Nothobranchius furzeri: one gene and its partners. The protein of the gene in region 2 purifies or fractionates together with the protein of the main gene of each other region. This does not show direct contact. Links are inferred from orthologs where the notes say so. Each region holds a gene or a part of one and is shown on either strand. Other genes may lie near its edges.

Region 1 (6,334 bases), on a different chromosome or scaffold from region 2:
CCCTTTCACAACCAACTGAATGTGTACGGTTCCGCTTACGCCAACATCATACACAAAAAATGCTGAAGACTAACTAGAAATTCTTGTTCATTGGGTCTTTGTAATTTAAGACCTTTGGAAACTGGATTTAAGGATTATTTGTCATTTTTAAGGATTTTCAAGGCCTTAAATTTAGAAAAGCAAATTTAAGACTTTTTAAGACTTTTTAAGGACCCGCGGATACCCTGATATTGAAGAGTCGCAGAACGTTGCACGGTATGACGATGTCAACGCCAACACTACCAAAACAAGAGTAGACTCACCTCTTAGATCAGGACGAACCCGCGCGTTTTGAGCGTTATCTGTTATTTTATAATACGTTGTCAAATTGTGATCGGCAGAAGCTTTTCCGGTTTGCACCTCACTTTTTTTTTTACAGCAGCGGCCCAAAACTATCTCCTACCTAACACGTGGATTTTCTGCTTCCTGATCACGTGACGTGTGACGTATGCAGATGGAGATCAGCTTTGGAGCTGGGATGTTAGATCTCACTGTGCGGGGGCTCGTTCTGACGCCCACACAGTAAAATAAATAAATAAATAAATAAAAAGGCACATGATGACTTCAGTCGTCAATGGCAGTTAATGAGTTAATACAGCAAAAGCTTGATGCATTTTCAAACATCAAATCTCATTAAAAATTGTGTATTATGGGATTTTGCTTGAAAACACTGCTTTTCTAATTCTATGGTATTTTATTTAGTAACTCACAAGTTGACCCGAGGTTTAAATGTTGCGTTTTTCCATTTTACCAAGAATCTGGATCGTGGTTTATAGACTGGCATGTTAATCTTTATTTGGTTAGGATTGATGCCAGAGTAGAAACACCAACCTCACACAGGTGGCATGTTGCCAAGGACTGTGCAAGTGAAGCCAGAAACACTTCATCCCCCCTCCTCCTCCTGAATTTGTACCCCCACCACTTAGGGAACCACCGTATTAACACCTCCAAGTACAAGATGCCATACGTCACTGAAATGAACATTGCCACCTTCCTCTTTGCCTCCATTCGAACCCTTTTTTACGTTTTCTTTTTGACGTTCACCATTAAACTCTCCACCACTCTCAAGCCTCTAGCTCACCCACAAGCACATCAACGTCAGTCTCTGTGAAATGGTGTTTTTAGGCCTTGCAGTCACCGTGATTACCTGTGAAAGCTGCCACTTACCTGGCTTACTCGTATGCAGAACACTCATAAGTGGGTGTGCGGAGGGTGGGGTGTGATCAAAAATCACCTGAGCACACTTCTAGGACAGGTGTGATTTATAAAGCAGGAATTGTGTGCAGCTGTGCGTAAGCAGAGTTTTATGAATCAGAACATTTGTTTGTATAAATAAGCTTTTGTGTCGAGCTTAAGTAGATTTTTAGTGAGGACTCTACACGGCTTCATAAATGAGACCCATATGGTTCTTAGAGCTCGTAGAGACAAGGGAGAGAAAAGTATTTTAACATGTGTTCTTAGTGATCAGACGGGTTTTTAGAGTATGCATGACCACGAACGAAAACCTTTTTACGACATCCAGAGGAACTTGATCCCCTCGCCTGCACAGCTCTCTTACAGTCCACACACAGAGAGTAAATGCAAACGTCATACCTCATCTCCCACCATGTTCCACAGATGAACCAGTGGTAGGCCCGTGTTGTTGTCGTAGTTTGAGACCTTTATAGGAAGCAGGGAGGAAACAGACATTAGACTTTAGCTGGTGGTGGTTCTCTGAAGAGAGAGCTGCAGGGTTGAAGGTAGCCTCACCTGTGCAAGTAAAGCCACGCCTCTGGTCATTTCCTCCAGCGTCGACGTGGCTTCTGCTGAGAAACGATCCTCTCCTGATGAATGACACATCAGTGTGTATGAAACCAGCACCGGAGGTGAACTCAAAACCAAAGATCTGCTCTTAAACACGGCGCTAGAGGCCGACCGATATGTTCAAACTTTCTGTATCGGCCATCAGCCGAAAGTATTTCTAAAAGCTGCGAAAAATATATATATAAAAAAAAATCAGGCACCTCTGTGACCAACTACTGCCACTACTAGACTACAGAAAGGACCCGAACAGCTCCTTTATGTTGTGAGTTTGTTTGACAGCGTTTCCCGTACGGAGCTGAAACTCCAGCACAACGCCTCCAAAGATCAGCAGACGTTTCTTTAAGAGTGTGTGTGGTCAGGGTGGGCGGTACCAACCCTCAAACCTGCTGGCGGACGCCAGAGGTGAGGGATGCTGACAAGCTGTCTTTATGGCCAGAGGGCCGACTGAGGCTGCTGACAGGTTAGGGGTCGCAGTGGAACAAAGCCGGGCCTGGGACAAGTTTCAAGGTGATTCTGGTGCAAATCCGATATCTGAGGAAGTTTATGGTGTTTACGGCGGTGATGGCGTGCTGCTGACCTTGCCTGGGAAGGGCGAATGAGTGGGCGGGGCCCTTTGATTTAACAAACAATAAAATAAATGTCTCCGACTCTGACAGCCAGAAGATCTCTCTAAACTCAGCACGTAACAAAACAAAGCTGTACCTGGAAGAGGGACGATGTTGTCGAGCAGAACTTCTGCACCTTGAAATGGCAGAGTTACAAAATCTGACCTGCAGAGAAAGCATCGTGTTATTTGCTGATGTGTATGAAACAGATGACAAGTAGGCTAGAAGCACAACAAGTGAATGTGCAGAGTTATCAGATGAAGCTGCAGCACCAGGAGCCCAAAGGCTAGACGCCCACAGGTCAGCTGGAGGGCGCTTGCCTGATCTGTCGGAGCGAGTCGGTCTTTACTCGGTCGTAGCCTCCGTAATCAACATATCTGATCTCCACCTCATCGCTGTCTTTATAGAAGGTGATGACCTGAGCTCTCCACCAGGCTCCGTCCACTGCTGGAGCTGCGCAGATAACACCAACTGGAAGAGAAGGAGGAGAACTTCCGACACAGATCTCACCACCGTAGAGAAGACGTTCCAAAGAAAAGTTCTACCTTCAGCAGGCGAGGGCAGGGCGGGGGTACCCGGCTGGGAGTAACACAGGAACATCTGCTGATCCAGACTTCTTAGGGCGTGGTAGGTGGGGTGGGTGTGTTGCTGGACGAAGACGTGACCAGCTGACACGATGTTCACCACAACCACCTCGACGGTCACTCCACTGGGAAGCAGGAGCTGAAAAACATGGAGGTCAAACAGCAAAGCGTCAGAAGCCTGCGCTCAGCACGAGGACTCAGCTGTGTAGCGGAGAAGCTCCTTCTCACCCAGGAGGTCATGGGAAGTGAAGGCAGAGAGAGTGAGGGTGGTGGGGGTGCGTACAGATTGGTCAGGTCCAGGTCCTTAAACTTCTTGCCAATCAGTGCCAGAGCTTTATCAACCTGCTGCTGCACACCTGGCGACAGATCAGGCAGCGTTAGAAACCACCTCCGAGAGGAACCTTTCCTACAAACGGGCGCCTTGCAGCAGACTCACCCTCTATGTGGCAGATCTGGAACTCCTGTGTGTAAGGCAGAGTGGAGATGTAGATCTTTGCTCCAGAGTTCTGCTTCAGGAAGCTCACGTATCTCCCCTGCTTCCCGATCAGCCGCCCTACAAGATGCTGACACGGCAAGAAATGCTCATGAGAACCGTCCTCAACCACTTTGGACCATGAGAGGAAAATCCAGCGACACCAGTTTTACTCCTCTGACATCCACAAAGAAAACGTAGAGCAGCAGAAGCAGGTTTGGTTTCTCTGCCGGCGGCGTCTCCGTTACAGACACGCGGGGGCGGGGTCACTCACCTTTGGCACCTCAATCTCCCAGATAACGAGTTCAGAGTTTGATGAGGCAGCGTTGTTGCCCTGGCCCTCACAGGCTCCCATAGTGCAGCCGCTGTCCACCGAGTCCATACTGTTCACATCAGAACCTGGACACATCACATCCAATATTTTACCTTCACCAGTAACAATCTACACTTTGTTATGACATGGTAACGTTTCTGAAGCCCCGTGTGTCCAACAGCTGCTTCAGTCCACCTCGACCCTTTCTCCAGCTACTAGTCACCTCCAGCAAAGAGAAGGTTTCACAACCACGTCCGCCACCGCCTGAGGGGCGTCGGGTTATGAAGCCCCAGCTAAAGCCCGATGAGACGGAAAAGGAAACCGGCTGCAAAACCCTCTGAAGTTATGGGTCAGACAAGATCAGAAGCTTCTAGATCAGAACCTGGGCCCATAGTCGCCCGATTAACACATTCAGTACGATCACTTCCAGAGCAGACCCACGTCTTTAGCACATTAAAGCAGGCTGCTAGGACACACACCCTCACCGTTAGCATAGGACGAGCCTCACCTCCAGACTGATCGGTGTCCACCTCACATGTCCCATGAGCCCCGTTTCTTGAGCCAATCCCGTTAAGTCTCTTTAGGACACCTGCAGCATCCACAGAGCTCTCCTCTGGGGCTGCTGGGCCGGCCTCCACCAACGACAGCGGCTGCACGGCTTCCAACGACAAGTCTGTAACTTGAAGGACGTCCGTTTGGTTTTCCAACACGCCGCTCTGCAGCTCCTCCAGGCTAACGCCGTCCTCAGAGTGGCAGGTGCTGCAGGCAGAGTCTTCGGTCAGGACGGTCCCCTCGTCGCCTCTACGTTTCACGTTTAGACCTGGAGAGGCCTGATGCGGCGGCGGCGGCGGCCACGAGACATTTGTTTTACAAACCCCGTTGCTGGCCTCAGCAGCTGCCCGTGCTGGAGTCATGGAGCCACCATTTGGCACTCCCTGGACATCTGCTGCCTCTCGGCACTCAGGGCCTCCCTGCACAAGGCTTCTCGGGTGACAACCGTGCTGCTGTGTTCCTGCGACCGGCTCCTCTAGAGAGCAAAGCTGTCCTCTGACCGCGGGTGAGCTGCCACCGGGTGACACCTTGGTGACACCGAGCACTTCCTGGGTGGCTGCTGAGATGACCTCAGTGATGAGTCCAGCTGCCAGGAGCTCCAGATTCGGCTCTTCTTGAGTGCTGCTCTTGATACGGATGTCCTCTGAGGTCACCAGCATGCTGGTGGGATCCTGGACTGTGAAGGTGAGAGAAGTGGGTGTACTGGTTAGTATCAGTTTGTGTACATCCGCTGACAGACACGTCTCCAGAGAGTCTGCCTCTGATGGGAGGACCCTTGGTGTTTTGGCTAGGGTAAGTGCACAAACAATCTCATCTTGAGTGTTAACAGAGCTCTGATGCATAGCAACTTCACCCTCTGGCTCTGGTCTTTCTGCACCAGAGAGGCGTGTCACAGAGGACGAACGGGTGACTTTGGTAGCACGGTGAGACGTGATGGCGTCCTCGCTCGAGGCCCCCGGAGCCACCTCTGAATGAAACTCCCCGTCTGAAACTATTAAGAAGTCCCTTCCAGGGGGTTTCAACGAACTTCCTGTCACATCTTCCTCATGTGATGGCGAAGTGGGACCTGTGGGTGTAAAGATGTCCTCTGCTATTAGTCTGCCACTCAGTGGGTCAGGATCATCAGAACTTTGAACCAGGGAATGTGCTGCTTCAACATCCTGGGTGTGGATGGGAGAAAGTATTTCATGTGGTGTTCTCTGGTGGTTTAGACTCGGAGGTCCGTAGAAGTCCACTTCACGTGGAGGTGTGGCAGTCCCGTTTTCATCCACGCCGTTTCTACCCTCCAGGTGAGATGTGTCCGCGCTCGGGGGCCCCTCTGAACTTTCATCGCTGATTAGACGCTCTTTCTTACGCGAGGCGTACCACCACCAGCCGATGAGTGCGAGTACACCGGGCAGCGTGTAGGGAACCACGGAGCGGAACCTCAGCAGCATGTTCTCAAGAGATCAGGGGGCACACCTGAAATTAAAAACAGGGACAGATGAGCAGAGAAAGGCGTCACAAAGACTTTCTGGTAACAGAAACCACCTAGGTGGCAAACCTACAGCCAGGTCAGCAAACAGGTCTCCCCGGCGACCCGAGGGACTCGCTGGAGCTCCGTAGCAGAGTCTTAATGCTCAGACATCTGACAGACTAGCCCACATCGTCGGTCTGACTGCTGCTCGTAGAGAAGTGACATTAGCTGATTTTTACATCAGTTATTTCAGGATAAAATCGACTTTAACTGTCTTCCTGACCAACTTTGACTAAACTTTAGCTTCAGAAACTAAAGTACTTCTTGTTTGGAGTATCCCACACCACTCACCTGGGACAGCAGCGTTCACTCTAAGGTGTTAGAAAACATGCAACACGTGTCTGCTGGATTGTGAACTTGGCTAGGAACGTGCACAGCCCTAACACACACCATTACACCCTGAACCCAAGTGAAAGTGACGCACGCTGGTCTTGGACGTCTGCATGACCC
Region 2 (7,101 bases):
AGCCTACGGAGACAGAATAGAGCGGATGCTCCGGCTCAGCATGAATGTACCCCTGGATGAACAGGTAGGCGGTAATGTGAAGTTGGTTTCTTTGCATTGGCTCGGTGAGTCGGTTCTTTAAGTCTGCTGCTGTTTCAGGTTGAAGAAGAACCTGAGGAAGAGCCAGAGGAACCGGCAGAGGATGACTCTGAAGATAAAGAGGAAGTTATTGATGATGATGATGAAGATGATGAAACGGTGAGATGACTTTTAAAATGCGTTGAAACGGTAAAGAACTGTACTGGGTGTGGCAGGTTCTAACTTGTATTTTGTTTACAGATAAAGACTGATAAAGATGAGCTGTGAAGCACTGAATGGGAGAACGTACCCCAACAACAACGAAGCTGGAATCAGACTCAACTCCAGTCCATCTGTGGTTGACGCTGTCCTGGGTGGGTCCTTGGGTTAGGGTTTTTTAAGGCGAGCATTGTTTGTGCAGTTTTTTTTTTTTTTTTTTTTACATTCCCCATGACTGTAAATTTGTTAATATTTAACTGACCTGTTTATGAAGATGCAATCCTGTCTATTGATCTAATAAATGTTACCAAAAGTGTCATCTGTGCAGAGAAACATGATTTCCGTACCAGATTTGAGATTTTCATGACCAAACATCCACCTGGCCCTTGGGTGCAACATCTCAAATAATCTTTAGGGAGTCGCACAGAAGTGGAACTACATGCAAGCTAGAAGCAGAAGGGAAACTACCTGCAGTGTTGGACTGTTTCCTGTATCTGCTGGCTGCTGTGATCTGATAAAAGGCTTCAAATAAAAGACTAGTTGACCTCAAGAAAATTTTCAAGATGCTTTCAGTGGCAACACAGAAGATAATTTGAGGCCCTGCAAGTTCACTGAACAAAATATTAAAATTACGAAAGAGCAATGACTTAAATGCAGCATGTGGATCAAATATGGATCTCAAACCTTTAAAATGTAATTAGTGGCAAAACTTTAAAATTCAGTTAAGAAAACTGACATTTCTCTCCAAATAAAAGTTAACTTCTTGGCAGTTTACAGAAGATTTGTCACAAGGTACAGTAATACCTTAATAGATGACATGCCTTTTAATGTGGATTAGATGCGTTTTCATTGTTACTGTAATTAGAAAAGCTGCATCTTATTGAACCTCTGGATGGCAAGTCTAAAACGTCCACCAGATGGCGGTATTGCTCACTTTTAAATGATTGACTTGTAGGCCACTGGAGCTTACTATGTTCAAAACTAAAAATGGAAATTTACATTTATGAATAGAAATTTTACTTCAAAACTTTCTAAATTTTATAAAGATCAACTTCCACTGACTGGATGATTGTTTTTAGACTTTGCTGCAATTCTGACATATTTTAGACATTCTACTTTTAGGAGAACTGATATTTGACGACATGCGTCACCTCCAGGCCACTCAGCAGACTGCTCAGTCCGTTAAATTTTCTCTCCAAACTGCAAAATGGTTTTCTAATCGATAAGCCTACTTACACAATTAACTTATCACCCACACAAGGAAATAAATGTCCATATGCATAAAAAGTCTTTGCAAAAAAATCTAAACATTTTAGTCGAAATCCCTGATTAATTTATATTTTTAGTGAACTTGAAAAGAAATAAATGCAAGAACGTGTCTGTTTTTGCAAAACAAATGCATTTCAAACAAATGAGTAGATTATATTTCGTCTTGTGTCAGAACTGGAATTTGGGTAGCAAGCTTTGAGTAATGTTTTAGAGAGGGAGCTAGACATTTGCTCCATGATTATTACCAAACTTAGATCTGCAAAAATGTTTTAAAATGTCTTGTTGTGCATCAGGCGTATTCACTTTTTGCCTCAGAGAAAAATGAAAAGCAGGTCCATAAGAGATGGATCAGCTATGGGAGCCATTCTTTTTACAATAAACTTCAGCTTCCCTTTTAGCCTACTTTAGTTTAAATGGTGCAAAAATATAATCTTGCCGATAAACTGTTTTAATATTTATCTGATTAAATAACTTCACACATTTTCCTGTTTGCAAATTTACTTTTATTTTATCTCATCTCAGAATAAAACCTGATTGACAAAATTGCTGCACAGAAGACGAAATAAATCCTTTACAGCTCAGATTGTGGGAAAGAGCCACCACGGCGATTCTCCTTCCCATAATTTGTATTTTGTGACAGACTGCAGTTTCTGCGCCGCTGCCGCTCATCTACGCAATCCCTGGATAGGTGGTTGCCATGGATTCCTGGGTCACATGCGTGGGTTTCCTATAGCCAGAAGCAGCAGCAGCAGAAGATGATGCTTGGACCAAAATCCAGAGCCATTTTCATTCAGGAAAAAGAGAGGATCCGCTGTGGACAGCTCGTGGCACACCCGCTTATTCCTAATCTCAGCTGCGCGTGCATCCCTTCTTCTTCTCCCCTTCATCTTGGACTTGCAGCAGATCGGTTTTGTCCACATTCATAGACTGAAAACAGGAATGAGTATAGAAATTCCTGAAGGACTGACGGAGCTGTTACAAAGCTTTACCGTGGAAGTGTTGAGGAATCAGCCCAGGGACTTGCTCGAGTTTGCGTTGCAGTACTTCACCCAGCTGAAGGACAGCGAGACCAAAGAGGCCTCATTTGGCAATGAGCAAAATTCGGCCCCGAGATCAGGAAAAGCGGTCAATTTTATTGACGAGGCCATGCAGATCGATTCCGAGAACGGAGAGGACGACGACGACGACGATGACGACGAGGAATTCACAGGTGGTCTGAACGGTTGCTGCTTTCCTTTGTCTTTTATCTAAACACGACTGTGAGAAACGCACGTGAATGCGGATGACCTTAATGTTATTTGAAGCATGGGCACGCGTCGCAGCGGTGGGGGATAATGACTGATGCACCGGCGCTCCGCCACCTTGCATCCACCACCGCCGCGCTGTCAGTTGCCATATACGGTCACAGAGGATGAGCGATGGTCACAATGTGTCTGTGCGAGAAAATGATCCTTAAATACCAAACAGCTGCCATCTCAACGCCGGCACCACAGTGTGCTAAAAAGCACTCAGAGTAGGAGTGGATGGGGTTGAATATTTGCAGTCTCAGATGCAGGCCCAGATGGGCCTATTTACCCTCCTTAGCTAATAGAAAATAAGACAAATTATATATTCAATGCTTTCAAACATGGCATGGATATGGTCAAATGATCTGGTATGCACTAAATTGTAGCTTATAAGAGTAATCAGTGCAGGGTTGCTAGACAGCAGAGCTCTGACCTATCATCAATGGGAGTAGTGGGGTCTGGGGACCATCTGGTTACATAAATGCAGGTGCACCACATTCATTAGTTTAATAGTCTTTTTTTGGGGGGGGGGGGGGGGGGGGGGGCACTTTCATTGAGTCAGCACCGCCTGCAGGATGTCTGTGAATGACCTCCTAATGCATTTTTCATTCTGACCTTTTGTGGCATTATTCAAAGACCCTAAACCCACTTCAAAGCAGATGTTCTCATTCAGGTTTTACCCCCAATGAATATGGATCCCCAAGAGCAATGCTCCAGAACTGCAGCAACCTAAACCATTTCCAACAAGAGCAAGTTTAACACCTGGCTTTTATGTTTTACAGCTCCGGTGATAAACAGATTCATCAGAAGAGCATCAGGTGAGTTACGTTGGGATGCCTGACGTATTAAAGGGAAAAGTCTGGACAGTATCATCTCATCTGAATGTCGGGGGGAAATTTTCCATCTGTCTGTTGTAACTGTCCCTTCCCTTATAATAATAGGATTGATTTATAACAGTGTGTGAAGCCACTTCGTGGTGAACTTGGTTTATAATATCAGTGAGTGACGTGGGTGCAGAAATCAGGGCAAGAAGTGGTCCTTAATTATCTCTGGCTAAGAATAGTGGTAAAGTTGTAGCTCTGCACTGGAACGGATGGCTGCAGTTTTTCCAATATAAAAAGTGTGAGGAATATTCTGCAAAACATTTAGTATCTATTTGAACATAAATATATCTAACTAGGGTTTAAAATCTAAGGGTATGATTAATGTTGCCCCTGACTGATCCTCATGCTCATTTACACACATGCAGGAACATTTCCTTTTAGGAGTCTAAAATGCTTAAAATCATGTCACTTGTACTTACATTTTATTATATAAATTGAATGTGAAATTCTGTATCTTTAAGGTCTTCCATCCAAAACGTTTATCTCTTCTGAGGTTTAAATGATAAATGACCCACACTTTTATAGCGCCTCTCAGAGTAAGGACTCCAAAGCACTTTACACTACAGTGTATCATTCATCCATTCACACACTCATTCACACACTGATGGTGATGAGCTACGATGTAGCCACAGCTGCCCTGGGGCGCACTGACAGAGGCGAGGCTGCCGAGCACAGGCACCGGCAGTCCCTCCGACCACCACCAGCAGGCAAGGTGGGTTAAGTGTCTTGCCCAAGGACACAACAGCAGAATTCTCTGTCCGGAGCCAGGATCGAACCTGCAACCTTACGATTACTGGACAACCCGCTCTACCTGTTGAGCTACTGCTGCCACAGGTTTAGCCAAAAGATGAACAATTTCACCTCTGATTTGGATGAAGCACAATGAGGCTATCAGTGTTTAGTCACAAAATAATACATTAATTCATCCAAAGAATGCATTCTAATGTATTTGCAGAAGAAAACTGTTTTGTTACAACAACAGCCATAAGTAGTGCTCTGCAGAAAACACTGAAATCAAAAAATATTTTGAGCAAAATCTAAAGATAAAACTAAGTCAGCAGGTTAACAATGAAAATAGTAAAGAAGGAGCCATGCAACATGTATACAACATGTGTCATTACACACACAAGAAGGACGACTTCCTTTATATTTGCTTATACAGGAGGATTCATTTTTACATAAAGAAGTGAAATGGAAAATAAAGAATGTTCTCCTGAAGCGTTCTCAGTGATGATGGAGCTGAATGAATCCATTGGACAGGGTATCCTAAAGAGAGAAGCAATGGCATCAGTTATCACAACTGGTATAAATGTAGTTTACTTACCTCCGTTGATCTTTCTCTAACACAGTTTGTGCTGAGGCCTTCAATCCAGATGAAGATGATGAAGATAAGGAACCACGGGTAAGCTGTAGATAGAAGTTTGGGTCCATCTCTTTCTCGTTAGTAGCATGTATGTTATTTGTTAGCTTTCTCGCATGCACCATGTTTCATACTGGTTAAGGTTCATGTTTTACAATGACACTCTTAAATTGGCTTATTTTTGCTTTGTGTTGCAGGTCACTTACCCCAAAACCGATGAGCAGAGATATAGACTACAGGAAGCATGCAAGGACATTCTTCTGTTCAAGAACCTGGATCCAGTGAGCAAATTATTTGTTTCACTTAAAGCCATCATAAAACCATGGAACCATGGATGGCCTGAGGCTGCAGGTTTTTGTTGCATGCTTAGAGAAAGATGTTTGATTTGGGAAAACAATTTCCAAACACTTTCAACCCATAAAAGCAGGACAGGAGACAATAGTTGGATGTTTCACTGAATTGTCAATTTGAAAATGTTAAAACTGTAATCGAAAATTAGATAAACTATTTGACGTAAAAATTGTTCATGACTCTTAACAATGTTCTAACATATCCATCCATCCATCCATCCATCCTTCTTCTTCCGCTTATCCGGAGTCGGGTCGAGGGGGCAGTAGCCTAAGTCGAGAGGAATTCTCTCTCCCCAACCACTTGGGCTAGCTCTTCCGAGGGAATCCCAAGGCCAGGTGAGAGACAAACTCCCTCCAACGTGTCCTGGATCTCCATTTAAGCCTCCTCCTGGTTGGACGTGTCCAGAAAACCTCACCATGGAGGCATCCTGACCAGATGCCCGAGCCACCTCAACTGGCTCCTCTTGATGTGGAGGAGCAGTGGGTCTACTCCGAGCCCCTCCCAGATGACCAAGCTTCTTTCTCTATCTCTAAGAGAGAGCCCAGCCATCCTGTGGAGAAAACTCTTTTTGGCCGCTTGTATCCGCGATCTCACTCTTTCGGTCACTACCCAAAGCTCATGATCATAGATGAGGGTAGGAACGTAGACCGACCGGTAAATCGTTATAACATAGTATAGCTATAAATATATTGTGGAGATAAAAAGAAAAAGATTAGTAAAATGGTTCTCTCGCATTTGCCTAAAATAGATAGAATAGAACAAGAACAAGAATAGAATAGAATAGCATAGAATAGAATAGAACAAGAACAAGAATAGAATTTATAAATCCCACAGTGACTCTATAAGGCAGCGCAGGAGAATAGAAAATAAACAATGCAGGTAAATACACAAAGGCAGTAGGCTATTGTTGTAACCTTCAGCAATTAGAAGAACAAATAAAAATAGATAATCCAATTTCCAAAAAGAAACAGCATAAAGGATATCAGAGCAGGAGAAACAGCCGGCTGCTACCACTTCAACTTAGTCCCAAAAAGACATACACTGTTTGAAGTCACGGACAACAAAAGATGTTTGGACCTAGAAAACAGCAACTGGTGTTTAGCTCTATCCCGTTTCCATAGCAAATGCGGGTTTCTGGTTCGGGTGGGCGGTGATCCAGGGAAGATACTCGAGGGGAGGGGTGAGTGTTAGATGACGTGTTTGCATTCAAAACCTAGCTTGTTCAGATTCGCTATAACAGCTTTAACGTGATTTTATTATGTAATTATATAATAAGAAAATTGACATTTGCCACATGTTACACGGTTCTTTAATGGGGGCAGAAGTCACATACCGCACTGGATGCCACAGTTTTATTTTGAGGAATTTACTAATCCTGTGAAAGAGATGGAGATCTTAGAACTAAGTGTATTGAACATTAAGGATTAAATAGACAACGTGTGTTTCTCTCTGCTTTCAGGAGCAGATGTCCCAGGTTCTGGATGCCATGTTTGAAAAGTTCTGCACAGAAGGAGAACACATCATTGATCAAGATGATGATGGGGATAACTTCTATGTAATAGAAAGGTGCTTACTGTGACACATAGTTTTCAAAATGTTCTAAATGTAAAAAAACAATTTAAAAATCTAGGTTATTTTTGGGATAAAATATTTATTTAAATTTTTGATTTGATGA
Region 3 (5,768 bases), on a different chromosome or scaffold from region 2:
GTGACACCACAGCATTTCACCTTCAGCACACACAGTGACACACTACGGGGGGGGGGGGGGGGGGGGGGGGGGTCTGAGTAATACAAATTCAATACATTCCTTTGATGTAAACACATTTCTGTTAATACTGATCAGGCTCGGTGTCCCAGATGGTTCCTGGAGATCAAACAAATATCCCACAGTGGGCGCTGAGGGGGCGTGTTCACCCGATCACCGGTCAGTAGCTTGGAACAGATCCATGAGTCATGTAGCTAGCTCTGGCTAGGTGAAAGCTGCTTACCTCAAGCATTCAGAACATCTACCAGGTTCTGACCTGTTGGCGGTTGGAGCCGCAGCTAGAGCGAAGAACAAGGTGCTGCCACGCGGTTAGGTCACATGTTTGATTTGGCAGCCATGTGTTGGTTGTAATTTCAGCTTCCTCCACTAGGAGGACAGAAGCAGCTGAGTCACAGTAAAGTCACGGAAGCTCATCACAGGGTGGATCCACAATAACAGAACTTCCTACTGCTCGTGCTCAACATCACCTTAATGCTTCCCTGTCTGTTGGTTCAGAAGGTCTGCATGGTCCTGACCTTTGGCCCCACTCTGAACAGGAAATCCCTGTCTGCAGCTGTTTACATAAAACACTGGTTCTGTCTGCATCGGGTGCTCCACTCCAGCAGGAGCGTGTGTGTGAAAACACACTGGAGGTGGCTCTTATCCAGTGTAAGGTATGTGAACACATGGAACAGATGTGGGCAGTGCCACGTTCCAAACTGAACACACTCTGGGGAAAGAGACTTGCCTCCAATCAGACCGTACTTCCTGATCCACCATCAGCGAGTTATGGCATCTCCTCCGTTCCAAACATCTGGAAGGCACTGAGACATGCTGTAGCACTTCGCTAGCTCGAGGGTAACCCTGCTCAGGTGGGGTTGGACCGAGCGCCCTCTTACAGTCAACGCTAAAGGAAGTCCTACACGGCTTGAAGCTTCTCCCTAAAGGTTCTGTCAGTGATTTAGGTAGAACGTCTGATCCATCCTGTCACAGGGCCATCTGTATTCATCTGGTCCTGTTTTACTCCTGGTTCCACTCTTCTGTTCTGTTACCTCAGTCTTAATCATGTTTTCTCTGTTTCAGGTGTGTGTGTGTGTGTGTGTACTTGTAGTGGCTATGAGGAGATACAGCGTCACACACATTTGTCCTTTGTTTAATGACCATCCAGTCTTCAGACCTGGGCATAAGTGGGTTGTTGTCTCTTTCCGTCACTCACTCACACTCACACACACACACACACACACACACACACACACACACACACACACACACACACACACACACACACACACGCGGGGGGGGGGGGGTCTTTGACATACTGTATTTTTACCTGGAATACGACAAATTTTAGTTTCTCAGCAGCGTTTATGTCTTGGTTTTCAAACGTGATCAATTGAGAGAACTGAAATAAAAGGTGAGAGGAGTGTGTGATGACATCAGCTGATTACTGGACAGGTAAACAGTCCACTGGTCTGGCGACATGCAGGGGTGGGGCTGCCAATTCTCACTAAGCAGTTCTAATTTATAATAATAATTTAACAGAAAGGTAGGGGTCACACACACACACACACACACACACACACACACTACAGCAGACGTATGTGCTGGCATGGCGCCCTCTGGTGACTGGACCCAGGCCAGGAGGGGTTTCAGGTGCGGTCCAGAAGCCACTGGAACAGTGGGGTGCAGCACGGTTCTGGACTGGCCTGCAGGGTCTGGTCTGTGGCTGCGGGGGGGCTCTGGACCTCCTCGCAGTAGCGCACCAGCTGATGCAGCAGGTCTCCAACTCTCCACCTTCTCTCTCTGAGCCTCTGGACCACAGCTGGCAACTGGAACAGAATCAGAATGGTTTCAGTGTGCTGGTGTGTGTGTGGTGGTGGGGGGGGGGGGGGGGGGCTGTCATTCACATACCACACTGTTGCCACAGCTGCCCTGGGGAACACTAACAGAGAAACCCCGCCCCCGGGTGTGCAGGCGGGGTGGTTTGAATTGCTGAACTGTTGCTGTGGAGGCTGAACACTCTCCAGCGTGTTCACACATGGAGTCTGCGGGTTTCCCCAGAACAAGAACAGAGCCACCATCTTGCTGCCCGGGGTTTGGTGCTGCTTCAGGTACAAAAGGCAGCATGATCTTCAGCCCGGAGGATTACAATCCCAGCGATGTGATGGAGTTCAACACGGGATACTGAAGCAAACATCAGTATGCCATGTTGAGTATTACACCTGACCACAGGTGGCAGCAGCTTCTGGGCCTGCAGCAGGCACGAGCCACCATCACGGCTCCACCAGAGGCTCCGCTCCACCAGGGGCTCCGCTCCACACAGACGGGACTTCTAACATCTGCTGACTACAGCTTTATATGAAAAGTGGGTTACTAGAGAAGCTAGCTAAAGTTAGCTACTGTTAGCTGCCTTAGCAACGCTTCTGCAAGGGTTAGGCCATGCTGCTAGTGAAGCTGGAGACGTCCGAGTCATCTGGGTGAGGTAGTAAGCTATAGCTCTGTTATTAATATCCATGACATGATGTAAGGGTGGACCTCTTCATCATAGCTGTCCAGATGCAGCCCAAGGTGCTCAGAACCCAAACTCCACCGCCCCGTGTTGACTCGGGATCATCAGATCTAACAGACTTGTTGACCAGGTCAGTTCCTTTATCAGACACAAACAACAAGTTGTGTAACATAAGTTCAGACATCACGCACATCCCAACTGCTGTTTCCCTCGTGTGACCCATATATGACGTTTTAAATGTGATCCGGGTCACTTGGACATGCGGTACTGATTCCAACACATATCTGATGGTTTTGACAGCGACTGCAGTCTGAACGGTCATGTCCATCATGTCTCCTACATCACTGAGTCCGAGGAGGAGAGAGTTCCGGAGGAGGAGCGCTGACAGAAGGGTCTGGACGTCCTGTTTTAGGGTTAGGAATGAGAAATATAAGAGAGCATGCTGGAGGTGCTGCTGGAGCGAAGCGTCTCACCGGTCTCTATGTGTGTGTGTGGGGGGGGTGGGGGTGGGGGGTCTCCATGGTGAATAATACTCCAGGAAGACGAGGAGTAACATAGTTTACGGTCTTTAAAACAGTTTCCAGCCCAAACCTGAGGACTTAACAGGTGTGATCCTGATCCTGTGGACAAGCTGTGAGTGAAAACTTTCAGGTTCCGACTCCACTGAGCGTGACTTGTCTTCTGTTGGTGCTAAGGGCAGAGAAAAGGCTTCCTCTGCACCCCCCACCCCATCTGCAGCAAGATGATGTAGGTCTTGGTGCTGGTCTGTGGGTTGGCTTGGACTCTGTCCTCACCATTCTTCACTTCTGTTTACCTGAAATGGTTTTTGGTCTGCCACTTCGAGCCTTAACTGGAGGAATAACACAACTGCCCAAACGGTTGTTACCATGGTAACAGCAGCCTCGCTGGAAGGGATGTAAACACCCTAAAACCACTGCTGATCTCAGTATTTATCTACATGGGTCACATTTCAATGAAAGTCACAAAGCGGGAAACCACCCCGTCTCCTCCTGGCTCTCTGATTGGCTGAGAGTATGGGATGCATGGGACTGGCAACTCTGCTATGGTCAGGTTTGCCCAATATGTCCTCCTTCAGACTAACTGTTTCAGTGGCTGAAACAAGCTGCTTGCTACGATCCCAGTCACCCATGCCAGGACCAGCACCAAAACCTGCTGCTGCTTCAGCTGCTGCACTGCCAGAATGTACCCCACCTTACACGTAACCAAGCTCTGGACATCAGACCTATTGACTCACCTGCTGGAGTCCTCGCTCTGCACTGAGCTGGACCTGAGGGACATCTGCCATGGACGCTGCAGCCCACTGCAGCATGCTCCTCAGCTGGGGGTCAAGGGTGACGTGTTGAGGACTACGCCCTAGATCCTTCACGTCCAGGTTTCTCATCAGCAGTGTGGTCCTGGGCTTCTGCAGTTGAGTCCAGTCCACACAGAGTATCCCTGCAGGTTAGAGACATGGTTTTAGCTCGGTCACACTCACCAGCCTGAGATCTTACCAGTCCTGATCCGAGTCCACACATCTGGTGTAACAACAAAACATGCTTACCGCTGGACTCCTCCTGGACCTCTGCCTCCTTGTCCTCCATGTAGTCACTGTTGAAAACATCATGAAGGACCAATCAGGACACAGGAGGACAGGAGAGGACAAGCCAACAGCTAAGACACTGTTAAGTACAGATCTTGGTGTCACAGTCATGGACCTCACAGTTCTGGTGTACACACACCTAGAGCAGCATTACGGTGTTGATAGACACAGCGTACCATACCACTGGTTTATAGAGCGCTTTAACGCGGCGTTACGACCAACTTCCTGCTAGGGGGATCAGACCAGGCGACCAGCAGCAACACAACATGAACACCAGAACACGTGCAGCTCTTTGCACCTAGATCTGGACACAACCACCTCCCCCATGTGCAGCGGAGAAGACCAACCTGTCAGAAGGTGAGAATGACCAACACTCCTCCACTGCTTCCCCATCAAGGCCAAGACTGCTCCAGCTGCTGCTGTTCCCATTGCTGTTGAGGAGAGAAGGTGGATTATGCACCTGGAACAGGCCACGCCCCCCTCCAGCAGAACTACACACAACATAAGCATGCTAGTATAATAGCTGGTGTATGTGTGTGTGTGTGTATGCGTGCGTGTGTGTGTGATCACACTGGGGTTTCAGAGGGAGCTGCCACACCAGTATGTCGTCCAGGTGTGCAGGTGTCCCGCTCCGCAGCCAGAGGCACCCGTTTGTTTTTAGTAACGCTCGGGACAATAACCGCACACGTGAGTGTGGCTTGAAGACTCCTGGGGACAATTATCACCAGTAATGACTTTTATAAAAGTATTTGTCCGTTTAGCGGTGCATTACAGTATGCACCATAGTTTAATGGCAGCTGTGGTTAAAACTGTGGACTGAACCAGCAGATTACAGGATAACAGGGCGGGTTCCTAATCTGTGCACCATGGTGGAACGCGTGAGCTTTTTCAGGAAAACACTCATAAAATAATACCTAGCTTACTGTGTTAGTTAGCTCTGCATTCCCTCAACAGAGCCAAGCTGTCCATGACACCACATTAACAACAAAACAGCTGGGGTGTCACAGTAGGAGCGCTCGGCACCATGTTTCAGGGAGATAATGGAACTAAAACCCTACAAAACTGTATAAAAACAAACTACAAATGACCAGTTTGATCACGATCACAGTAAACCAGCTCTAGCACTAGTGTTGACCACTCATCACGTTGATTACTGGTTGGATGGAACAGAGTTCCTAGCATGCAACTTGCTTTTTAAATGTTGAAAATGCAGCGAACAACATTCAGTATGATGTTTGATCACAATTCAATTATTAAATGAATGGACATGTGTTGGAGAGCAGGTGAGTATAGCTTTGAAGTTGGCAGTGAGCCAGAAACACCATGACAGAAGCAGGTACGTGGGTTTACGAGCGCTTCGTCCCACTCCATATCTGTAAACGGTGTTGACATTCACTCATGCATAAGTTCCCACAACAAGCTTTTCATCATGCTGAGAGCTACATCGTCAAACATAAATATCTGTGGGCACATGTCCCTGGCTAAATGTCCACAGCGTGCTGTCCGGGTGTCCTGGTCCATTTTAATGAGCAGCGGGTTGAAAGTGGGACGAGCTGAAATGGTGTGGGATGGAGACTCCTTTCATTGTTCCGATGGGAACTCTTCTTGATGTCTCCAGACATC
Region 4 (6,150 bases), on a different chromosome or scaffold from region 2:
AATTAAATTTTATTTTGGGGAATCTTTTTTTACCTAATACATTTTGAGCTAAGTGACAACAGACAGAACTTTTACTAAATCCCCTCTGAAAGAGGTTTAATTCAGTTATTTTCTAGAGTCAGCGCTCTTATTGGATCGTTTTGTTTCATTATAAAAAATAACAGATGAGATGTTGCGTTAGAGGCCGACCGTTACAACGGGCCGACATATTAAATTTTTTCTATATTGTCCGAAATTATTTATAAAAGCCGATTAAAAATAAATAAATAAAAAATCAGGCACCTGTGTGGCCAACTGCCGCCACTACTAGACTGAAGAAAAGACTCGAAGAACCACAACACACTGGTTTATTTTTATGTTTTGAGTTTGTTGTATATTTGAAGTTGAATGAATATTAAGAGACTTATTGACTTATTTAAATTATATTGCACACAATGAGTGTTCAGTTGACTTTCACCATCAATGTGCTGCTAAAACGTATATATATCACCCTAATAGTCGGCTTTAGATATCAGCCATCGGCAACAAAAGTCTTTAAAAATTGGTATCGGCATCTGCCTTAAAAAAAAACATATCGGTCGGCCTCTAAATTTAGTCTCACGGCCCCAAAACTGTAGAGTTTGTAAGATTATATCTGTTTTCACTTGTAACATTATCCTTTTGAAGACCTTCAAATTTATTTGACCTTATTATTTTTCACTCCATTCTAGTTTGGGGTCATTTTGTATTGAAAAGACAATTTTCTCAGAAATAAAAACATTTTTAAGTTTTTTTCTGAAAGTCAAACCCATTCAGCATCACCAAACATCTGTGTCTGATCTTTGGTGTCCCATTGAAGCACAAATGGAAAATTTGTGAATGCTGTGTTTTTCCCACAACCCAGCACTGTTATCCCCTAAACTTAAAAGCCAAAAGAGTCACTAATGATCACTTTCGAGACAATTTTCTGGTCTTTGAACTTAAGATTTTTAAAATATTGATAGTTGTGATGCTGCACTGATCTACCTTTTTGTGTTTTGATTTCAATATCTGAATTTAAATATCTGCCTGTAGCTACACATACCTCTTTCAGTACTGTATTGTTGATGGTGATTGTGTTTGGCTCCAGTTAACTACCTAGATTTCATTTTAAAATAATAATGAAATAATACTTAAATTCATATTTACATCAAAAGTAACTGAGACATATCTGAATGACCCCCTCACAAGTCAGGTCCTCAGCAGCTGAGCTGCTCTGTCGTCTCTGCAGCTCTTATCAAAGTGAAACACATCTGCTACCTCACCTCATGTAAATATCTGGAACAAACTCTGATTTTTGTGGGGGCTGCAGCAGGGGAGGTTTTGGGGGAAGCTGCAGTTTGTGCAAAACACTGCTGAAGGTTAGCTTCATCATTGGCTTGGAGGAAAGTAAAGTTCAGAAGTCCAGATCATGTGAGCTGATGATGTAAGTGGGCTGTAAAAAAACTACTGTAGGGATATAAAATATATTGTTTAATAATTAAAACAGATTATTTTAGCTTTTTTAATGTATTTATTTTTTATCAAAGATGTAGGAATCATTTGAAAGAATTTTCTAGAGTTTGATGGGTCCTCAGTGAGGAAGTATCATATTTTATAATAATGAGCAGGGGAAGTGTTGAGTTATTGCTTTACATGTTTTAGGGTTACAACAAAGCAGTGGACTGGTGGGCCCTCGGAGTCCTCATCTATGAGATGGCAGCTGGTTACCCTCCGTTTTTTGCAGATCAGCCGATTCAGATCTATGAAAAGATTGTGTCTGGAAAGGTAAGCGAGATTTATTTTCTTAGATGTTTTCCATGGTCTTTTCTTTCTGTTATTTCCAATGTGTGTGTGTGTGTGTGTGTGTGCGTGCGTGAGCGCGCGCGCGCACACAGATTAATTACTAATCTCAAGTTTCCATAAATGTTTTTTATTAGGTACGATTCCCCTCCCACTTCAGCTCTGATTTGAAGGATCTGTTGAGAAACTTACTCCAGGTGGATTTGACCAAACGTTACGGCAACCTAAAGAACGGAGTCAATGACATCAAGGGTCACAAATGGTTCGCTACAACAGACTGGATCGCAATCTACGAGCGAAAGGCAAGACGCCAGACACTTTTAAAACACGAATCTGGAGTTTTTTCTATAAGGACACCCTCTAGAGGCAGAATAATGCATTGCGCCCATTTAGCCCCTCTCCCTACTTCCGTGATTACGCGTCTCGTTCGTGAATGTACACCTCTAGACAGCCAACAGAGCTAAAATACATTGTTTTACAAACATTATTTTTACATCATGCTGCTTATTCATTTTTAAAAGACTAACTTGTCCATACAAAATGTTGCCAACACTGCATCAGTCCAAGTACTTCCGCAAACATGCATGTACGCTCTCTGATCGATATTCATGTAAGCAGATGTCGAACGCTATTGGCTAAATCTGGACTTTGCCATTTAGATTAAAAATGTTAGCTAAATGTGCAATTAATACATTAATGGCTTTATTTTGTGAATTGGGAACAAAAAATCAAGGTTATTTTTCATTCGTGGTCAATTTTTCTTCCTGATTAAGATTTTTCTTTATAAAATAACAGCTCCTCTACTCCATTGGTATTAATGCACGAGTTACACCAACATTTAATTTCCCTCTGGGATCAATAAAGTAATTTTGAATTTGATTAAAATAGAGAAAGAAACAGAATCTATATAGGGTTGTCACGGTATGAAAATTTAACCTCACGGTTATTGTGACCAAAATTATCACGGTTTTCGGTATTATCGCGGTATTTTTTAAACGGTGTTGCATATGTTCAGAAAGCATTGATAGTCCTGTTCTACACAAACTGAAATAGTTTTGAAAAGGTTTAACAGTGTTTATTAAACCTAAAATAACACAAAGCCTTAGCAAAAGTGCAACTTTTCACAAGTAAAGGAACAAATAGCTTATTTTTCTGGAACTTGTTACAGTAGTCAGTGCAGGTTAAATTATACAAATCCAAACATTCAAAACATAAACAATATGTAAACAAATCAAAGAAACACCACTTGTTTTCTCATATACTTGTTTTCTTCATTATCAAAATGAAAATCTAAAACTCCAGTCCACACTTGACTTGAGCGCTGTACAAGTCAACCTTAAAATATATGTATTTAAAATAAATAGCCACTTTAAACAAATGACTAAAATAACTACTACACTATGTAATCAAATCCAAATGTTCAAGTATAAATGGCATTGAATAAGTAAACAAATCAATGACAAGGAACTAATTGTATATTTCTCTTCATCATCAACAAATAAGATGCTTCATCCAGCAACAGGGTGTCCATGACACGGTTTAAATGCTGGCAGAGGACGCTGCGGCTGCAGTATATAGTGACTCGTTGCATTCTCCCTCAACCAAAAGTCCTCGCGTCATGCATTTAAGCTAAAATGCTCATGTTGACTTACCTTGCACTGGCTGTAGAGATGTGGGTGATGGTCACGCAGATGTGCCATTAGATTCGAAGTGTTGCTGCCTTTTACAGACACTTGTTTCCTGCACGTTCTGCAAACGGGATAGCAGTCTTCTATTAACTGTCCCTCAGCATTTTTCAGAAATCCAAAATATGCCCATACTTCCGATTTAGTCTTCTTTGAGGGCTGATGGATGTCCTGGGCGCTGCCGTCTCCTCCTTCGGCCATTATTTCAGCTTCAACGTTTTGGTGCCATTGCAAACTAAAAAGTGCGTGTGCGCGCTGCGGGAACTTCAGCTGAAGCGACGGTGGCTGGTAAGGGTCACCGCGCCGAAACCGCGGCCACGGTAAACCCACCGAGATAATATAGTTTTTTAAAAACTGGACGGTTATTTTTATTGTCAACCTTTTTACCGGGGTTTACCGCTATACCGGTTACCGTGACAACCCTAAATCTATATGAATGAAATAGCCAAAAAAAAAAAAAAAAAATACCATGATATTCATTCTTCAGCTACAAATTTTACAGAAACAATAAAGCTAACCTGATGAGGGCTGACCATTTGGGTTTTTAGTTTGTACATGAACACCAAACGCCCGTCTCCTCGCCACAGATTAAAAACCTTTATTAAATATTGATTTGATGATGTTGGATTGACAAATCTGAAAAAAAAGATAAACGGTTCACTTTTTTCTTTTTAAATTCACAAATAATATATTTTAAACTTTCAATAGAAATCCATGACACTGGATTTCCCTTTTGTCTTACAGGTTGAAGCTCCGTTCATACCAAAGTGCAGAGGCCCCGGGGACACCAGCAACTTCGACGACTACGAAGAGGAGGAGATCCGTGTTTCTTTAACGGAAAAATGCGCAAAAGAGTTTGCCGAGTTTTAAAACACAAGAACATGGATATATCAGGGAAAATAAGGGGATGTTTGTACTCTTCAAAAAGACCTGGGATGGAGCAGAGACCATCTTTTATCAGATCTACGTAGTCCCTTCATTCCTCAAGGCTGAATGAGGTCCCCGTGATCCTCGAGTGTCGAACGGTAAACTCCTCACCGTCGTGATCACCTGCGTATTAAAGCAGACACATCACCTTTTTCTTCATTTTACTTTTTTGAATGCCGTTAGTCTTTGTTTTTGTTTCCAACAAAAATGTGATTTTTTTTTTTTTATGTATGTATGCGGAAAACCTCTGGCCAATAACAGTCCACCCACTATAGCTGATTTTTCTTTTGGCTGTTTGGCACACAGTTGAGTGGGTTGTGTGTTTTCCCATTTGTCATAAGTGGTGTGTGTACTTAAAGACCCACGTTGAGTTTAGTTTAAGCCAGCATAAACGTAGGGTTTTTGTTTTGTGTGTGTGTGCAAAACTGTCAGTTTTTTAAGACATTTTATCACAGTGAGGGTTCAAACGAAAAATTCTGGGCAGCTGGAGAGAGGTCCTTCCCTTTCTTTGCTTTCTGCCTTAGGAGAGCTGAGTCCTTAGACCCCCCAACAAAAACATCCTTTCACTGTCTTTTTGGAATTCTGACCCAGACACAGCAAGCCATTGCAGAAGTCGACAAGCCTTGCATTAGTTAAATGCATATCCACGTCCTTGGTTGATCCACTTTGGGTCTGTTTAATACATGTAAAGTTTTCTCATTTGCTATCTTAATGTTTATTTTATTTTTTTTTTACATTGTGTTTTAACGTTAGAACAACTGTCCCTAGATTTTGGGAATCCTTTAACTCTTTTTTTTTTTTTACTATTCTCTGGATTAATGCAACTATAAGAGAAAAAGACAAAGTCCATTGTGGATTTTTATTTAGTTTTGTAAAGGTGAGAAGGCCGTTGTGAATAGGGTTGAGGCTTTAAGTTTTAACATTAACAGTTAAACCTCAAAAGAATAAATAAATTCTTAAATATTTTTATGTATGAAAGGAAAGATATTGTGAAATCCTTAGAAGGCAAAAAATCATATTTACCCATCATCTCCCCATCAAAGAATATGTTGGAAACTTCTAGATTTACGCATTGATGCTTGATTTAAAATTTTCCAACAAAACACTGGCTAAACTAAAGACTGCTCCTTTGAATCACATGCAACCCTGTTATTGTTACGCTCATGACATTATACATATATGCTTTGTTACATATTTGGTTTTATTTATACACATTAGAGATGCTAATAAATTTTATTTTTAAAAGGGTGGAAGTTTGACAATGTGTTCATTGTGATTCTGGTCATTAAACCTGGGTCACAGCCTGGCCAGCCATGCCAATGCGTCTTAATGGCCTCTGTGTAGAATAGGCAGAGGGCGATTTAAATTTAAATTAAAAACATTTAATATTCTGCCTATAACTCTTGGTGTTGTGCCCTCTTCTGCATTCAAATTTAAATCTGCCATCACTATTGGCTAAACGGTACCCTATGACGTTAGCTGATACCATATGATGTCACAATGCCGTTGTGCGCCTGTGTGTGCCTGTATTTGTTAGGGGCTCCGCCCTCAGTCTGCCAGGCAACAGCATTTGTTGCATTTTTTTTAAGCAAGAAGTGGGAGTGAAGTAAGACTGCTAGGAGGTGACTTGCTCTTTAAGAAAAAATAATATTTCTGCTATTTTTAATTTTTGTGGTTATTTTGTAATTCACTAGGACTGCTTAAGATCATTTGCAGACTTGATCTTGAATTTTCCCCC

The links. Proteins that work in one complex are often made in the same cells at the same time.
Region 1: the proteins of cAMP-dependent protein kinase type II-beta regulatory subunit (region 2) and akap1b purify together in Homo sapiens (affinity purification with mass spectrometry; 3 studies listed by BioGRID and IntAct, counting the BioPlex papers as one, with this or other methods). This does not show direct contact. The link is inferred for Nothobranchius furzeri from reciprocal best matches to the Homo sapiens genes PRKAR2B and AKAP1.
Region 3: the proteins of cAMP-dependent protein kinase type II-beta regulatory subunit (region 2) and akap11 purify together in Homo sapiens (affinity purification with mass spectrometry; 3 studies listed by BioGRID and IntAct, counting the BioPlex papers as one, with this or other methods). This does not show direct contact. The link is inferred for Nothobranchius furzeri from reciprocal best matches to the Homo sapiens genes PRKAR2B and AKAP11.
Region 4: the proteins of cAMP-dependent protein kinase type II-beta regulatory subunit (region 2) and prkacbb purify together in Homo sapiens (affinity purification with mass spectrometry; 7 studies listed by BioGRID and IntAct, counting the BioPlex papers as one, with this or other methods). This does not show direct contact. The link is inferred for Nothobranchius furzeri from reciprocal best matches to the Homo sapiens genes PRKAR2B and PRKACB.

The regions. Positions count from the first base shown.
Region 1 is NC_091753.1:61,602,605-61,608,938, reverse strand, and holds part of akap1b (A kinase (PRKA) anchor protein 1b), read right to left. Parts: intron 6,029-6,334; exon of another isoform or gene 5,916-6,028; intron 5,830-5,915; 5' UTR 5,805-5,829; coding exon 4,325-5,804; intron 3,903-4,324; coding exon 3,778-3,902; intron 3,595-3,777; coding exon 3,468-3,594; intron 3,388-3,467; coding exon 3,260-3,387; intron 3,171-3,259; coding exon 2,993-3,170; intron 2,919-2,992; coding exon 2,768-2,918; intron 2,613-2,767; coding exon 2,545-2,612; intron 1,863-2,544; coding exon 1,789-1,862; intron 1,699-1,788; coding exon 1,633-1,698; intron 1-1,632.
Region 2 is NC_091744.1:62,292,385-62,299,485, forward strand, and holds the start of cAMP-dependent protein kinase type II-beta regulatory subunit, read left to right. Parts: upstream 1-2,350; 5' UTR 2,351-2,484; coding exon 2,485-2,755; intron 2,756-3,613; coding exon 3,614-3,649; intron 3,650-5,064; coding exon 5,065-5,117; intron 5,118-5,272; coding exon 5,273-5,356; intron 5,357-6,885; coding exon 6,886-6,992; intron 6,993-7,101. Other genes in the region: hsp90b1 (endoplasmin), read left to right, coding at 1-64, 139-237, 319-345. UniProt on the Homo sapiens protein: Regulatory subunit of the cAMP-dependent protein kinases involved in cAMP signaling in cells. Type II regulatory chains mediate membrane association by binding to anchoring proteins, including the MAP2 kinase.
Region 3 is NC_091754.1:39,490,172-39,495,939, reverse strand, and holds the end of akap11 (A-kinase anchor protein 11), read right to left. Parts: intron 4,577-5,768; coding exon 4,493-4,576; intron 4,154-4,492; coding exon 4,107-4,153; intron 4,001-4,106; coding exon 3,801-4,000; intron 1,866-3,800; coding exon 1,686-1,865; 3' UTR 1,495-1,685; downstream 1-1,494. UniProt on the Homo sapiens protein: Binds to type II regulatory subunits of protein kinase A and anchors/targets them.
Region 4 is NC_091751.1:51,162,938-51,169,087, forward strand, and holds the end of prkacbb (protein kinase, cAMP-dependent, catalytic, beta b), read left to right. Parts: intron 1-1,662; coding exon 1,663-1,785; intron 1,786-1,937; coding exon 1,938-2,102; intron 2,103-4,229; coding exon 4,230-4,355; 3' UTR 4,356-4,656; downstream 4,657-6,150. UniProt on the Homo sapiens protein: Mediates cAMP-dependent signaling triggered by receptor binding to GPCRs.